Linked DNA regions of Arabidopsis thaliana. The protein of the gene in region 1 interacts with the protein of each later gene in a pairwise test. Each region holds a gene or a part of one and is shown on either strand. Other genes may lie near its edges.

Region 1 (8,295 bases):
GAAGAAGAAAAGCAAAAAGAGAAAGGTGCCTTCTAAAAGTTTAGCTTATATCAGATAGTGTGAGGTTTTCTAGCTTATGCTAACATGAACCATGATCGGTTGTGTTATGAATTTGCAGCATTATTCGTCCTCAGAGTCGTCATCTAGCAGTGATGAAGATGAATCTAGAAGATCAAGATCAAGTTCGAAAAGATCAAAGAAGGAGAAGAAGCACAAGTCCAGCAGAGACAAACACTCTAGCAAAAGTAAACACGAAACCGATGGCCCTGTACCACTCTCTAGATTCTTTGGCAATTTGAAGAATTGACAAAAGCAAAACTGCAAATGAACTATTACAAAGAGTAAGATTGTCTTCAATCAAAATACTCAAAGTAGGATATGATTGCTTTCTTCCTTGTTGCAATGTTATATTTTTGACAATAGCTCATGTATTAATATTTGTTGGATTGAAAGTCGCAATGATGCCCACAGAATCATGGTTTTTCAGTTTATTTGCTTAAAAATGAAATTTGACAACATCAAAAGGGAATCTAGCAGAAAATCTTAGCACAACAAAATTTCTGAGAGATGAAAAAATTAAAGGAAATGAAAAGGGAAATTATTCAAAGAAAAGCAGAGAAGGAAAAGAAAAAAACAGAACAAGGATCAAAGATATGGTCCTTTTCAATCATTGCTGGTTTCAGGGTTGAAAGCTAGGGCTTCACAGTAGATTAACTCTCTAAACTGCTCCTCAGAGAATGGATGTTCATCTAAATCGAAATTGAAGGGCTCTGAGCACTCTGGTTCATCGGTAATGTCGTGAAACGAGCTAAGGTATGGATGAGCAAGTGCTTCTTTAACTGCAAAGTGGCAAAACTGATGATAAGAATCCAAATAAAACTGCAGAAGAGGCTATATGGAGACAGAAACTGACCTGAGATTCTCTGTTTAGGATCAAATGTTAGCATCTTCTCCACCAAGTCTATTGCTAAGGGAGGCACGTTCGGGAATTTCTCAGTGAAAGATTGGCGAGGAAGCGTAGGAAGCTGCCTTATGTATCGCTTAGCGTATTCACTCAACGATCCAAGCTCTTCTTCAGATGGAGTGCCAATGAGCTGCAAAACAATGTCCCAAGACTTTTTAAGCTAATCATGAATCACAAAAAACGAATATGATCTTGGCACAACAAAGGGTTTTACTTTACTACCTCCAGAAGCAAACGAAGCTGATTAACTTGATCTTTCCCCGGGAAGAGCGGTTCACGGTTCATTATTTCCATGAAAATACAGCCAACAGACCAAACATCTATTGCTGCGGTATAGTCAGAAGAGCCCAACAGAAGCTCAGGTGCACGGTACCATCTTGTGACAACATACTCAGTCATTAAATTACTCTCAGGAGTTGCACGAGCGAGCCCGAAATCACAAATCTTTAAGTCACATTGTGTACTCAAGAGGAGATTGCTTGGTTTTAGATCTCTGTGTAGCACATTGGCTGAATGAATGTACTTTAATCCGCGCAGGATTTGGTACATGAAATACTGCCAAAAATTTGAAGATTGTGTCAAGCTCACTAATCAAAATGATTTTTAAGTTTCAAGAAACAATAACTCTAAACACACACCATGCCATGATCTTTGGTTAGTTCTTGATCTGATTTTAAGGTTCGATAAAGGTCAAACTCCATCAATTCATTCACAATGTAAACATCTTCGAATGAATCTCTCTGAGGAGGCAAGATTACGTCTCTGATTGCAACAATCTATAGAAAAATGATATTACATAGTTAGCTTTTAATGAATAACAAAATAAAAGAAAAAAGGTGAGACAATAGTTATAAAATCAAACGAACATTCTCATGATCGAAGTGACGAAGAAGCTTGATTTCACGAAGAGTTCTCTTTGCTTCGATAGTGTTATCAAATACTTGCGTTATTTTCTTTATTGCTACCTTCTCATTGGTCTCGGAGTCCACAGCCGAACTGTAAAAAAAGTTAAAAAGAAAAGTAAAAACTAATGTGTCAAGTGAGGAAATTTTAAAAGTAACAAGAATAACATAAAAGTCATGAATGGTATAATAACTGTTTAGAGATCTCTATGATAGAAACGATTTGAACTTTTCTCATAAAAAGATGAAACTTATCAACCCAAACCATAAATTACACACAAAAATGGTCATGGCATCTACATTCTAAAGTGCTCAAAATGATTAGGAAAAGAAATGAAACTATTAATTCTGTTAAAAGGATATTACCAAACGATGCCACAAGCACCTCTGCCAATAGGCCTAATCGGTGGCTTATACTTTGCGGGGAGTTCAAAGATATGCCCAAATAGATTGTACTGGATGTATCTGCCGTCATGGCTGAGAGTCCCCGGAATATCGATAGTCGTCTTGAGGATTTGAGATGACGGCCAAATAGCGGTTGTAACCTCTCCTTGAGTTTCCAATGTCTCAGCATCGTTAGTTGGCTCCATGGTTTTCTTTTTGTCTCACACAACCTCAAACTATTCTGTTGAGAGAAGTGATGTTTTTGCTTTGGTTGGGTTTAGTGGTAGTGAACTAAACTTATATAGAGTGGATATGTGTAAGTATGGATGTTTAAGTCCAGGTCCAGGAGGACCCAGGAGATATGAGTTTTGATATATTTTGATAGTTTTAAGGTAAGTTTTTTTAACTTATAGGAATTCTGCTGTGAATTTCCTTTTCCATATGGAAAAAAAAAAACTAAATAATCTTAATATATTTCCAGCTAATGAATACAAAAAAACTAATTAATTTATGGAAGTGTATAAGTGAGATGATTTTAGGTAAGTTGTTAGAAGAAGATTTTTTGCTTTTCATACACCCTCTTAAATTAAATGCAAACATGGCAATACAATTTGGATACATACTCTTCATATTCATTTCCTAATTTGTGTTCATTTTTGTAAACAATTTTCTGTATTTTCATATACTTTAAATTTAGTATAGAATAATATTTTTTGAAAAATCAATTTACTTGAAATTTTAAAATATATAGATATTTGATATGAAGTTTCTATGTAATCACCATCACTTACAAAGAAACCTCAAAAATATTATTAATAAACATAATTCAAAATAAGTCTTACCATTTATTATTATTATTATTTTGTTATTATAATTTTTTTTAAAAAAAATAATACTATACTAAGTTTGGTAGTTTTTAAATATGTGTATAATTGGTTTTCATTTTTTATTTACAGGTTAATAAAATATTTGTTTCCTTACCTACAAAATATTATCCCTTCTGCTACACTTAGCATGTTTGGGTGATGATGGGATTCGTTTTTAAGTAGATTGCTGGGAATAGCAAAAAAAAAAAAAAAATCTACAACAAATTTATGAGATCTAATTTAGTTAAATGTGTTATATATAATATATTTATAAGAAAAAAATAAAGTTCATAAGATTTAATAACAAAAATGACAGTCCAGCAATCAAATGATAAATCCACTGCATCACCACTTCTGTATTTTATCATTGTTTTCTATTTGTGCTGATAAATAGAAACACCACACACTTCTGCTAATGTCGTTCGTTGATTTATCATTGTCCATTCTGTTTTTCATTTTAAATGATAAAAAATATGCTTACACATTGAAATAATGTAGTAGTGGTCGATAGACATATACAATGTTTAGTTAATCTTGTCAAATTTTCTAAGTTTCTGATTAGTATTCTTTCGTTTAGAAATTAAAACGCTTGCAAATTCACAACTTGCATAAAATTAGTAACTTGCACATACGTCGACGGGAAAATTCACAAGTACAGTAGGGAAATTAGGTAAAGAGTAATATAACGATGCTATATGAAAAGTAAAAATTCAAAGCCACGAAAGTAAGATCAAAACTAGATGGAAATACAGTTTTTTAAAGAGAAGAAACGTTTTCACTCGTCGTCAACTTCATTGATATGGCTTCAGCAGCTGAGTGAAGTGTACGAATACGGTCAATCAAGTTAGCTTTCCTCACATTCAAGGCCAAACAAAACTCGATAGGAAGAATGTAAACAGACACCACTAACAACTGGGAATGTGATGAACTAATTAAAAGGATACAAATCTAACAACAAACCGATACTTTGGAGTGTTGTATTTGTTCTTGTCTTGATTAATAAGACGGATTCTGGCACGATTATCAGTCTTGCCATCTATATTAAGAAAACACGAGAACTGTCACAACAAAATGTTAGCTTTTGATTAAACAAAAAATAAATGTTTCTATCTGTGTAGAATGATTACCTCTTCTTCTCCTGGATTTGACCTGACCCCTGAGTCAAGGATGACGATTGCTTTTTCACTAAACCCTAAGTATGCCACTTTAAGGCCTTCTGTTATTGGGCCTAAAGCCCAAAGTTATTAGGGGAGAAATTGCTGTAATAATTTTACGTGTAACCTATAACTTTTGACCCAATTTAGCTAGTTCTAAATTTGCAAAACAAATCTCAGCATCCGAACGAAAAGAAAACAGTTTTTTTTTATTACACTTTTTCTGTTGCCGATGTTAACGGTTCCAAGAGACGAACAAAAGTAATTCTTGGCAATTATAAGAAAAATAGAAAACAATTTTCAGAGTCTTTACGCTTCGGAGACATCAACGTTGTTCAAAGCTTCTTCTGGTGACGATGATGCATCTTGGAGACTTTCAGAAGTTTCATCAGAGGGTTTCGATTCATGCTTAGCAGCAGCTTGCAAAACCCGGCTTCGAACATCTGAAGAAGAAGGCGAAGTTGGGAGGCCAACACCATTTGTTTCTAGTTTTCCTGCAGCCCACGAGAAAGCCTGAGCTCCGAGTTTCACAGGTGCAAGCAACAGCCTTGAAGAAGAAGATGAAACAATCTTTGTTAAGACAGAACAGAGGTTTCGCTGAGTTTTTGCTATGGAAAAAGGGTCTAATGATGGCGCTTTTATACCTGACGTCTTGTTTGAAGTCTTCGGAGTCATCATATGAAGAAAGTCGTAGGTATATAGTCTGCATAATGTTTGAAACTTGAAAAACAAAACAAAGCAACTATAATTTGACAAAACTTAGAAACTGGAAAGGCTAGTATATACCAGACTAAGGCCGATGACAGCTATGAGTTGCAGTGTTTTCTCCCACTCTGCGAGAGATAGAGCAATCATGTTAGTGCAAAACGTGGATGTGAGGAGCTTGTGTGTTGTGGAGAATATGAGATATTCTAAAGGGGAAATGAGAAAGAATTAAACGCACCAGACAAAGCATACAATGCTGCGAAAAAACCCTGCATATATCTTCTTATATTAGTCAGGATGGGATTATTATTAAACGGAAATAGAAAAATAGAACTAGAAGCATACCACACCAACTCCAAATAGTTGCAATGGAGAGGGATTTATGTCCTCAAAAATCGCCTCAGCTTCCTGAAAAGCATTTAAGATATGTTTAACTTACTGATGAAAAGATTTGAGAGCAGTTTCAATTTCATCTAGCTGAAGAAACAGTCCAAACATATTTGTATTCATATGGTATTACCTCGTTGAGGATGGTAAGTGTTGTCTCAGGTTTTGGCTCTTTCACACGAAGACCTTCCTGTACCCATGATCTATACCCACCTTGCATCAAGTATGGCCTCTGTCACATCATAGGCAACCAAAGAAGAGCTTATTCGAAAATGTTTAAAGGTAACTTATTGTGTTCAAAGTGAATTATGCCTGAATGACTTGCCTTAATCCCAACTTTTCTCAGGGCTCTTGCAATACCCTTTGAACGAGTTCCATCAGCATCCATAACAACAACCTTGGACCTGTCCTATTAGTGGGAGAGTAAGCAAAATTATGAGATGTCAGCATACTTAGAAACTGAAACAGCTCGAGCCACAAAACCATAGTAAGTTACAAAAGAAGCATGAAGGTAGCACACCTGAACTATTTTCAAGTTCTTGATGATTACTGCTGTCAAGATATCATCTACTTCACTTCCACCTTTCAGTAGCCGTTTGACATCACCGTCAACCTTAAACATGAATCAAGAACAAGAACCCATAAAAAATGTGAATAAAGAAAAGTCTGATATCCTACTTCTGTTGCACTGATTGCTGAAACCTCGTTGTGTTCATAGATTACATGTGTAGAGTTTCTATATTCGCTGTGGTCAACAACAATGAGGATGCTAAAACCAACCTCAGGCAGTGTCACGCTAGAATATCGAAATCGAGCTGATCTCCGCAGATCAGGTATTCCATCTTTCTCTCTCAAGGCCTTCAAAAAGACAGTAGCCAAAATGAGCATTTTTATTTCAACCCAAACTCCTTGATGAACATTATGTGAAAGAAATAATCAAATTGTGGTGGGTTTTGAAAAGTTATATATCATGAAATGGGAACTTGTTAGAAACTTAAGAGCGTCTTACTTCAGGCCTGACATCTATGAGCACTGACTTGTCTCTTGATTTTAAAAGGTCCAGAGTTGACTTGGGAGACAAATCTCCAGCATATCCACCATATGTCCAAACCCGATATAGAACCCTGCAAATATCTGGTGGAAAATATAAATTCTTCTATACTACATTGTCCTCTCAAGAAAAGCAAGTTTAATATCCTTCTAGGGTAAGAAAAGCCGTGTACCAAAAGGTTCCTGTGGTGCCTACGAAGAGAAAAAGGTGAAGGATTGGGTCATCTGGATCCAAACCGATATTTCTCTCCAAACCTCCAATGGCAACAGATACCTGTTCATCATGATACTGTTAGCAACTGTAGTCCATAAAGAATTAATTTTCTTCTACGAAAATATGAATGAACCTTCAGTATATAAGACAAAGCACCTGCTGCAATACAGCTCCCACGGGACTCAATACTTTTAGAGCAACATCTTCTGACGAGTTAAGGGCACTCTTTACATCTGGAGGAAGTAATTCTTTTGCTGATCCATAAGAGTACACAACAAAAGAAACTCCATTTGTTACAGATCTCTCTCCAAGACTAACTGATTGCCTCAGCAGATCAATGGCAATAACAGCTGCTCTGTTTGAAGCTTCCTTCAAGCCAGTAGAAAAACTCGAAAACTTGTCTCCAGCTACATCTCCCGTTTGGTCTAGCGTAGAAAACGCTCTGTTAACTGCACTATCTACAACTTCAGAAGCATTCTTTGTAATGGATGTCACAGACGAGGAGAAGGACTCCAAAGTGTTCTTTACAGCATTTTCTCCTTGGTTAAGTGAAGAGCTGAAGGACTCCTTGACCCCAGAAGAAAAGTCATCAACGCTAGCTTTCGCATCAGGAAGTGAAGAGCTGAAGGACTGCTTGAGCCCAGAAGAAAAGTCATCAAAGCTAGCTTTCGCATCAGGAAGTGAGACTGAACTATCCGGAGATATTTTAACAGTCGCATTGGTTCCCGATTCAACAGAGTCTATAAGGCTACTGGTCTTATCGGTTAAAGTCTCAGCAGAAAGGCATTCAATGGGGGAAACATCTGGTACAACAGCTTCAACAGGAGAAACATCTGCTGCAACAGCTTCAACAGGGAACACATCTTCTCCATTTTCTACATATGTCAGTCCCTCATCACTCGCTACAAAAGCTTCACTCATGTTATAAACCATGTAGTTTATTCTGTCCAACTCATTCTGGCACAAACTTCCGAATGTTGATACTGGTTGTTCTGTTTTTTCGATAGTACCGGTCAAGAAACTCCCAGTGGCTTGAGGTACGAAACTCTTCTGCAGGCGTGTTCCATTAGAGATACCAAAGAAGGCATTGTCACCTGAACTGTATCTGTGAATCAACTCTCTCCTGAAGGAAGAACAGCCTCGCCAATTGCCAGGAAATAAAATCTGCAGAAACAAACCCGTTATGAGGTACTTACTTATCTATGAAAATGAATCCAAAAACCCAAAGCACTAACAAAGCGTAACACCCATAGCTCAAATTGGATGACTTCAATAAATTTGCTACCAGTTAGCTTATTTACTTTCACTTCTATAAAGAAAATCTAACCTGAGAATGGTAACGGCAGCTTGTGGCCGAGCACAGGGGAAACATGTTGGTCAGTCTTGGATTCTTACAGCAATCTCATAGCTTTCACAACATACCAGAAAAGGAACAAAAAAATACAATTTCAAAGAGAAAATGACGATCCAGTAAATCTGAACCGGAATAAAGAACGTCCTAATGAGAACAAAACAAAAATCACAGACCAAGAAGAAACAGTGTCTCAACAAGAAGAAGATTCAGACAAAAAAGACTCCAGCAGCAGATTTACAATAATGGGTGTCGTCTGAAACCTGCAACAAGAATACCCATTATTCAATTACTGAGTCTGAGCATGTTTGGAACCTT
Region 2 (8,299 bases), 1.1 Mb from region 1:
TGAGTAATTTAAGGGATCTTTCTGGGTAGAGCTATATGGAGGACACGTGGAAGATGAAAGCGCCTAAAGAACTTGTTTGAGTCTCCCACGTATCTTGGAACAAAATCAGGTTGTTGGACTCTATTAGTTTCATCGCAACAACTAAAACCTAACTCCATCGCCTAATTAAAAGAGACACAAGTGTTTTCATTATTATTTATGTGATAACGTAACTAGCGCACAAAAAAAGAGTATTCGAAATAGGATTCACAGAAATAATTCAAATCGTATTTGGATCATGAATATGCACTAATATGATTAACAAAGAGCAAACAAAAATGACAACTTGATCAAAACGTCCTTCCGACTTTGTCTCCCCATATCTTTTTTCTTTCTATATTAAAACCTAATCATGTTATACATTAGGACCATCACATGTTCTTCTCTTTAATCCCCAAACTTCTAAAGAGAGAGAGAGCGAAAGCGAGAGAAGAGCACTAAGCAAAGACTTCTTTAATCTTCTTCTTCTGATCGTCAGTGAGAGAAGACGGAAACAAAACCTCAAAAGTGACAAAGAGGTTGCCTTTCTTTGTGCTGTAGTGAAGTGGCATCCCTTCTCCTTTGAACTTCTTTACTTCCTTCGGCTTTGTAATTCCCTGTTGTCGCCACACAATATTTAACCCATAAGATGATAATTGATGGTCATTGTTTCAAGTGTTTTGCGTGTATGGGGAAAGATATTAGTGTTACCTTGGAACTGATGTCAACTTCGTGATCATCCAAGTGTTTGAATGATTTCTCAAAACCAACTAGCGCCTCAACCTGAAGAAAAGAGATTTGGTGGAATCAGAAAAATGAATCAATTGTTGGTCTATGATGTAGAGATACTGATATAAGAGTAGTTTGTTGAATTTATTTACCAGTGTAATGTTCACGTTCATGTGTAGATCGTTGCCATCCCTTCTGAAACGGGCATGTGGTGCAGTTCTGATTCGGAACTGCGAAATGTACAACAATGGTTTATTCTCTCTGATTTTGATGTTTAGTGAAGTCAAGGATAGTGAAATTTAGGGAAGAGGCTAACCTTAAGGTCACCAGGGTCACCGTCAAGAATGGGTTCGCCGTCTTCATAGAAAGACACTTCCTGAAAAGTATTTGGTATTTAGAAACTAAGATCGGAAAAATCGATAAGCTCATAAATAAATCAAAATGAATTAAAGAGCTACTATGAAACGTAGTTTCGATTGATTTTACAATGAGGGTAGTAGAAGTTCGATACTTACTTCTCCATCTTTCATTCCTTTCTCGATATCAACTGTCACAAAGTATCCCTCCCGTTCGTATTTGACATTAGGGCATTTGTCACAGACCTGAGGGGAAGAAGAGGATACGTCGTTAAACAGTAATTAGGTTGGAACAAGACCATCTGTGACAATTGAACATATCCGTCCTTTACCTGCTCTGTCATCTGTTGGAACATTCCAGGACCAATTTGTCTGTGATAGACCTCGTTCCTGCAGTTACACTTTCTCTTTCCAGGAGCTGGTTTTATCACATTCTTTTCCCTCCATACCTGATAGTTCAATGTGGAACATTCTCACTGAGAACTTAATGCAATTTCTTTTATTTGCATTAATGTAAAAAAAAAAACTGTCTACTCTAACCAAAACATCGCCTGAACTGAACCTAAAGAATGTCTGAATGACACTATGAAATCTAGTTTACAAATTTCTATTGATTCTAGTACATTTGGATCAAAGTAACATTTCCCAGATGAGTAACATGTATTAGTGATGACAATAACATCCTGACACGGAGCTTAACATACCTTCATAGAGCCTCCCATGTACAAATCTTCTAGAGTTGCCTCAAGTTCCACAATTACGTCATCCCCCTTGACAACCTTCTCTTCTTCCTCCATCGAACCTCCACCAAAAAACCTATTAAACACATCAATAATCTCTGCAAATTAGCAATCTGCACCCTTTAAACACAAATGTAAAACATTATCCAAATTTAGGAACTATTCACGCTACAGAGTAAAGTCCCTTCTTTAAACACAAATGTAAAACGTTATCCAAATTTAGGAACTATTCACGCTACAGAGTAAAGTCCCTTAACATTACCAAATTCAATTGTATCCACTATCAATAAATAAAACTCACACGAATTCTATGTTAAGATGGGTTCAACAGGATAGAAGATCAGACAGATCCTAGTGACCCTGTATCTTGTACCTCTAGTTGGATCCTAAAGAGTTACCATTTGCAGAAAACTTACGAGCTGAAGATGTCCTGCATATTCATGCCGCCTCCTCCTCCTCCTCTTCCTCCATTTGCAGAAAACTGTTTAAGTCCCTCTTCACCATACTTGTTATATATCTCCCTCTTCTCCTCATCCGATAACACTTCATAAGCTATTACATCAAACACCAATACGTCAATTCTCAAAACTAAAAACGGGTGAGTTAACAAAGAGAGCAGAATCACACAAGTTGCAAAACGAAAATACCATTGTTGATCTCAGCGAATTTGCGAGTCGCTTCCTCATTTCCTTGATTCTTATCGGGATGATACTTCAAAGCTAGTTTCCTATAAGCTCTCTTGATCTGTTCATCAGATGCACCTTTCGGGACTTGCAACACATCGTAGTAACTCTTCCTAAATCCACAACACAGATTTTCTAAGCATTCACATTTTCCACACATTTCTGAAGGAATCGAAAGATGTTCTTACCCGGCAAGGACGCAGATGGCGTAGGAAAGAGCGAACAGTACGATACACAGCTCCGACCACCGAATCGCCATGGAAACGGAAATCGGATCTCTCCCAAGGATTACTCCAACCTGAGATTCGTTTCGATTTTAACAATGAAACCTCACAGAATGAACAAGAACGAAGATCTTCTTCGCTGATTTTTATGATTGGAAAACTCGAATCACTCTCTCTACTTGTTTTCGTGGAAACGATTCCAAAACTCGAGCCTCGTGGTCGGGTTACGTGTACACTGCAATGCTTAACCAATCAGGATTAAGTCTCTGACGATCGTAACCAATAAATATTAGCCACGTGGATAAACCAACGTCGAATCGCTGACTGTTCTTTTCGTCGACTTTAATGAGTACGACGTCGTTATACTCATATAATCTATACAAGGCGCATTAATAATGAAGCGGGCCTGTAACTCCCCTACGATTGTTATTCAATAAATGTGGCCTAACCCGATTAAAAACCCTAGGTTACTGGGCCCATACAAAATCGAGATTGTTTTATGTAAACCGATCTGGGGAGGCCAGATCCAAACTAGTTTTGCATATTTATGCATTATGGATTTTGTACCTACCATATTAAACTTGTTAATATAATGACAAAACCGCTGCTATGAGAAAATTTATTTCTTTAATCTTTATATAATCTAGACTATCTTAGTCACACATTACGTTGTGCATTGGTTAAACACTACTGGAGTATAAAACAAAAAAAGGTGGTTAAGTAATAAATACATATTTTGTTGCTTATTAATTACATGCAAAGAAACATAGACTGGTTTGGACAATCATGTCATATGTCAGGTCTCTTGATTCTTCGCATCTTCGACGAAACATTATTTACTAGACATACAATAATAACTAGACATCTCACACGAGTGGTCCCGATCCCCCACTAATACCATTTTACTGTCCATTGAAAAATAAAGAAACGTTGCTGACAATAGTAAACTAAATAAAATTGGTGTTTACATATTTTCCACGATACGAAGTAAAATATTGAGAAAGTATTACGCTTATGATTTTATTAATTGTTAGATGATTAACTGAATCCGAATTGAGCAGTATGATTAGAAACAAGTCAGAAATAATAAATGTATAACTAGTATTTAAAAAAAAAAAAAATGTATAACTAGTATTTAAAAACTATAGTTAGCATCTAATTAGAGACACTAGGACGACCCAGCTGGACAGCTGGTTAGTAGCTCTCGACCTATGATGAGCGCCTACGACTTTTGTTTCAACATAGACAAACGTGGCTCGTTCTATCACCTGAATATATAACCCACTCCTCTCTATTCTTGCATGTCACTCCTATAAATATTTAATACTAAACCAATCACTTTTTGTTGTGTCGTCACTTTACTTCTCTTTAAATAATCTCTTTCTCTAGTGATTGACTTTAGGAACAAGTGAAGTGAGTGATTTTTAATAATCGCCGGCCGAGAGAATGGGAAGGGCGCCGTGCTGTGAGAAGGTAGGAATTAAGAAGGGGCGCTGGACGGCGGAGGAAGACCGGACTCTCTCCGACTACATTCAGTCCAACGGCGAAGGATCATGGCGTTCTCTTCCCAAAAATGCCGGTAAAGTTTTTTTTATCTATACAGTACTCTGTCTCTCGACTATCGCATGCATCTCATAAGATAGTTTTTTTGTTTGGTCAAAATTTATAAGAGAATCTATATGCATCGAGAAGTTAATTAATCTTACGTACGGTTCAATTATACACCATGAGTTGTAAAAAAAATTAAAATAGAGACTTGATTTTTTTTTTTTCTATTTAATGTATCAGTTTCTATAAGGAATGCATAATATTTTAAAGTACATAAAGTGTTTATTGATAATTCAGACCAAATTGCCTTCTTGTTTTATTTACATGTATATATGGACTGTAACATCACAAATAAAACGATAATTTATTTCAATATTTAGGAAAAGATGAGTAATCGCTGCAGGCATTATTATGCCTTAATTAAAATCTGACGTACATTTTAAAAAGGGCTAAAGAGATGTGGAAAGAGCTGTAGATTGAGATGGATAAACTATTTGAGATCAGACATCAAGAGAGGAAACATAACTCCCGAAGAAGAGGACGTCATTGTTAAACTGCATTCCACTTTGGGAACCAGGTAACTTTTTCATTTGAACAAAAGTTTATTAATGTCGATATATTTCCAATAGAAAAAGTACACTATCACGTGAAATCATAAATCAAACTGTTGCTGTGTAACGTCGTGAAAAAAAACGTTTTTACAACAAAAAATAAGAATAGCGTCAACGCTAATTAAATTGCAGGTGGTCAACAATTGCGAGCAATCTACCGGGAAGAACAGACAACGAAATAAAAAACTATTGGAATTCTCATCTCAGCCGTAAACTCCACGGTTACTTCAGAAAACCAACTGTCGCCAATACCGTCGAGAATGCGCCTCCGCCTCCTAAGCGTAGACCTGGAAGAACCAGCAGATCCGCCATGAAACCCAAATTTATCCTAAACCCTAAAAACCACAAAACCCCTAATTCTTTTAAAGCAAACAAAAGTGACATCGTTTTGCCAACTACGACAATAGAGAATGGAGAGGGAGACAAAGAAGACGCATTAATGGTGTTGTCAAGTAGTAGCTTAAGTGGAGCAGAGGAACCCGGTTTAGGACCATGTGGTTATGGAGACGATGGCGATTGTAACCCAAGCATTAATGGCGACGATGGAGCTTTGTGTCTCAATGACGACATTTTCGATTCTTGTTTTCTATTGGACGACTCTCATGCTGTCCACGTGTCCTCATGTGAGTCGAACAACGTAAAAAACTCTGAGCCATATGGAGGGATGTCAGTTGGGCACAAAAATATCGAAACGATGGCTGATGATTTCGTTGACTGGGACTTTGTATGGAGAGAAGGTCAAACCCTTTGGGACGAAAAAGAGGATCTTGATTCGGTTTTGTCGAGGCTGTTAGATGGAGAGGAAATGGAATCTGAGATCAGACAAAGGGACTCCAACGACTTTGGAGAACCGTTGGATATTGACGAAGAAAACAAGATGGCTGCTTGGCTTTTGTCTTGAAAGATTTGACACCATGCATATGCCTTTTTCTCCGTTAGATTTTAGCAAAGACCCCACGTGGCAGGATCTGGTCGGTTTGTCAATAGAACATGTTTGTCCCCTAGCGTTCGTTTTTTAGTTTTAAATGTATTTATATTCTTTTTTATTTCTTTTCATGTGTAAATACGATTTTGGCGGTGGCAAATAAACAAAATAAAGTCGATCTTCTTAGTTCAATTACATATAAGCGATCCATTGATGATTACACCATTGATAGCCAACTTAAGTAATCTTTCGACTTTCGTATATATGTATACAAATATAATAAGAAATTTAAAATACAAAAAAAATATAAATAAAATTCAGTTCCATATTGTGAATCAGCAATTCTCACTATTGGTACATAGTCCAACACTTGCTAGTTGCATTCTAGGTGGAAGTATTTCAAAGAAACAAGTTTCTCTGATAGACTAATAATAGACCAAAACCCGAGCAAATTTCAAAGCATGTCGCCAACCACAACTCTTTTTTGTGTGTAAATGTTCACTGGTAAAGTGGTAATTAATGAACGTTTTGAATTTTGATTAAAAGCTATAAGACCATCTCCAACGAGAGGATGTAATCAAAAAATTGTTGGGCTCTCTTGTTTAATGACAATAAAAATAAATTAAAACTGATAAAAATCAAGAGAGTCGGCTTTCTGGAGAGAGTTTTGAGAATTTGAGAGAACCGTCGATGTGGCAACATGTGATTGGGTTTTCAATTTCAACAAAAAAATAAATGTGTGCGCGTTCTGTTCTATCTTCTTTCTCCTCTCTGCCCAAACGAAATTGACCAAAAGATGCAAAGCCCAATCATCGTTTCTTCTGAAAACTTTTCGCATTTGATATCTTTTCTTTGAAACTGAAATCAAGATACACAAACTGAAACCAATTTGTTCACCAAAAGAAAATAAAAATGCGTGGGTTTCGATTTCAAAGATATTCAGGAAAAGATCTCCGATAGCTTTCGTCTATGGCAACACTCTTTTCAATTCTGGGTTCGAGCTTCGTGGTTTTAAAAGCTTGTAATTTCGTGTGATCAAGCTCCTGCGACGCCGTTTGATGCGATTCAACTTTGAAAATTTGATGAAAAGCCTCTTGGTTATGCTTCTATTGCTCAGGTATTATAGATTATGGTGGAAACTTAACAATTAAGTAAACATGATTGAGTTAGAGTATTTAGGAGCTTGTAAAGCAGAAGGTCTTGGTGATGGACCCATAATGAAGCTGTATATTTATGTTGTAATTGAGGAAGATAATCTGGTCATAATGCTTTCTAGAATTAGCTACTCTTGCCGTAGAATTATTATCTCTTGACGTGGAATTGTAGCAACATTGTCAAACTCTGGTTATGTTTATACTAAGACAATATCATTTATTTGCTTTCTTAGGTTCACAGAGGAAGTATAAAGGGTAACAAGATGAATGTTGTTGTAAAGGTGAACATTATCGGAAGTTCTAGATGGGGCTGAAGCCTCTGCTCGAGCTATGACAGAGGTCGACCCCAAAGGAATTTTCAAGTCCACGGGTCTGTTTTCCTTTTACTGATCACTCTGTTTTTTTTCCTTTAACTTATCTATGGAGTAAATGTGAAGCCATACTAGTCTCATTTGAGCCCTCTAAAATGCAGGCTATGGTAACTATTTGTTTATGCTTGCTCCGTCAACCAATGAATCATTCAGACAAATGGTCATTTCCGATGCAGTCTCTGTTTTGATGCCGAGGTAACTGAGATTACTTATGGTAACTCTATGGTTCTTGATCATGGTTGGATTGACACTTTGAACAAGAAATGGGATTTGGTTCATTGCATTGAGGTTAGCTTAGGTTTGGCTTTTAATAAAGTTTCTATTTGAGTGGAATTGTAAAATAGAATTGATGTCTAGTACGTGTTTGATGAAATTCCTCTAAGAGTGAACCTTAAATCGTGTGTATTAAGCTTTGTTTCTTGATAAACAACTAATGATTTAGAGTTCTCTTCACGTTATTGTGATGGAAGTTTTATGTTCATACACTCAAATGTTCTTTTATGTTCGAACTCTTTGCTATATATTTGTTGTAACCAAATTTTAACCATAACACTTAAACACATAATCACAAATTTTCAAAACTTTATCTACAAGTTTAAGAAGCAAAACACTTTAACCATAAGTTTAAGAACCAAAATACATAACCACAAGTTTAAAGAACCAAAAAACACTTAAATTTTTGTTCTTTTTTCAAATCTATTTTAAAATGTTTGAAAAATGAAAACAATGTATATTTAATATTTTATGATTTGCAATAATTATTAAGTTTTAGTAAATAAAATAATTTTAAAAGAATAGTTTTTTTCAGAGAACCCCATTAGAGAGAATCTGTCATTGGAATATGAAAAACTAAAAAAAAAATAAGCAAAAGTTCTCTTGTAATTTTTGTTGAAATTTAATCAAAAAAAATTGAGAAAACCTCTCCATGAGCTCTCTCCAT

The links. Proteins that work in one complex are often made in the same cells at the same time.
Region 2: the proteins of MPK10 (region 1) and MYB11 interact in binary tests that used the Arabidopsis thaliana proteins (3 or more experiments, as listed by UniProt).

What each region holds. Positions count from the first base shown.
Region 1 is NC_003074.8:22,086,609-22,094,903, reverse strand, and holds MPK10 (MAP kinase 10), read right to left. Parts: upstream 2,505-8,295; 5' UTR 2,457-2,504; coding exon 2,233-2,456; intron 1,961-2,232; coding exon 1,831-1,960; intron 1,741-1,830; coding exon 1,603-1,740; intron 1,520-1,602; coding exon 1,187-1,519; intron 1,095-1,186; coding exon 914-1,094; intron 840-913; coding exon 664-839; 3' UTR 501-663; downstream 1-500. Other genes in the region: AT3G59800 (stress response protein), read left to right, coding at 1-25, 119-307; AT3G59780 (Rhodanese/Cell cycle control phosphatase superfamily protein), read right to left, coding at 4,580-4,817, 4,915-4,973, 5,057-5,103, 5,214-5,244, 5,321-5,383, 5,496-5,594, 5,688-5,771, 5,883-5,975 and 5 more.
Region 2 is NC_003074.8:23,150,562-23,158,860, forward strand, and holds MYB11 (myb domain protein 11), read left to right. Parts: upstream 1-4,068; 5' UTR 4,069-4,196; coding exon 4,197-4,329; intron 4,330-4,745; coding exon 4,746-4,875; coding exon of another isoform or gene 4,876-4,879; intron 4,880-5,041; coding exon 5,042-5,810; 3' UTR 5,811-6,024; downstream 6,025-8,299. Other genes in the region: ATERDJ3B (DNAJ heat shock family protein), read right to left, coding at 477-635, 730-801, 900-977, 1,064-1,123, 1,263-1,349, 1,436-1,552, 1,808-1,919, 2,260-2,395 and 2 more; AT3G62615 (uncharacterized protein), read right to left, coding at 4,799-4,879, 5,261-5,293. UniProt on the Arabidopsis thaliana protein: Modulates overall growth by reducing the proliferation activity of meristematic cells and delaying development. Flavonol-specific transcription activator involved in the regulation of several genes of flavonoid biosynthesis.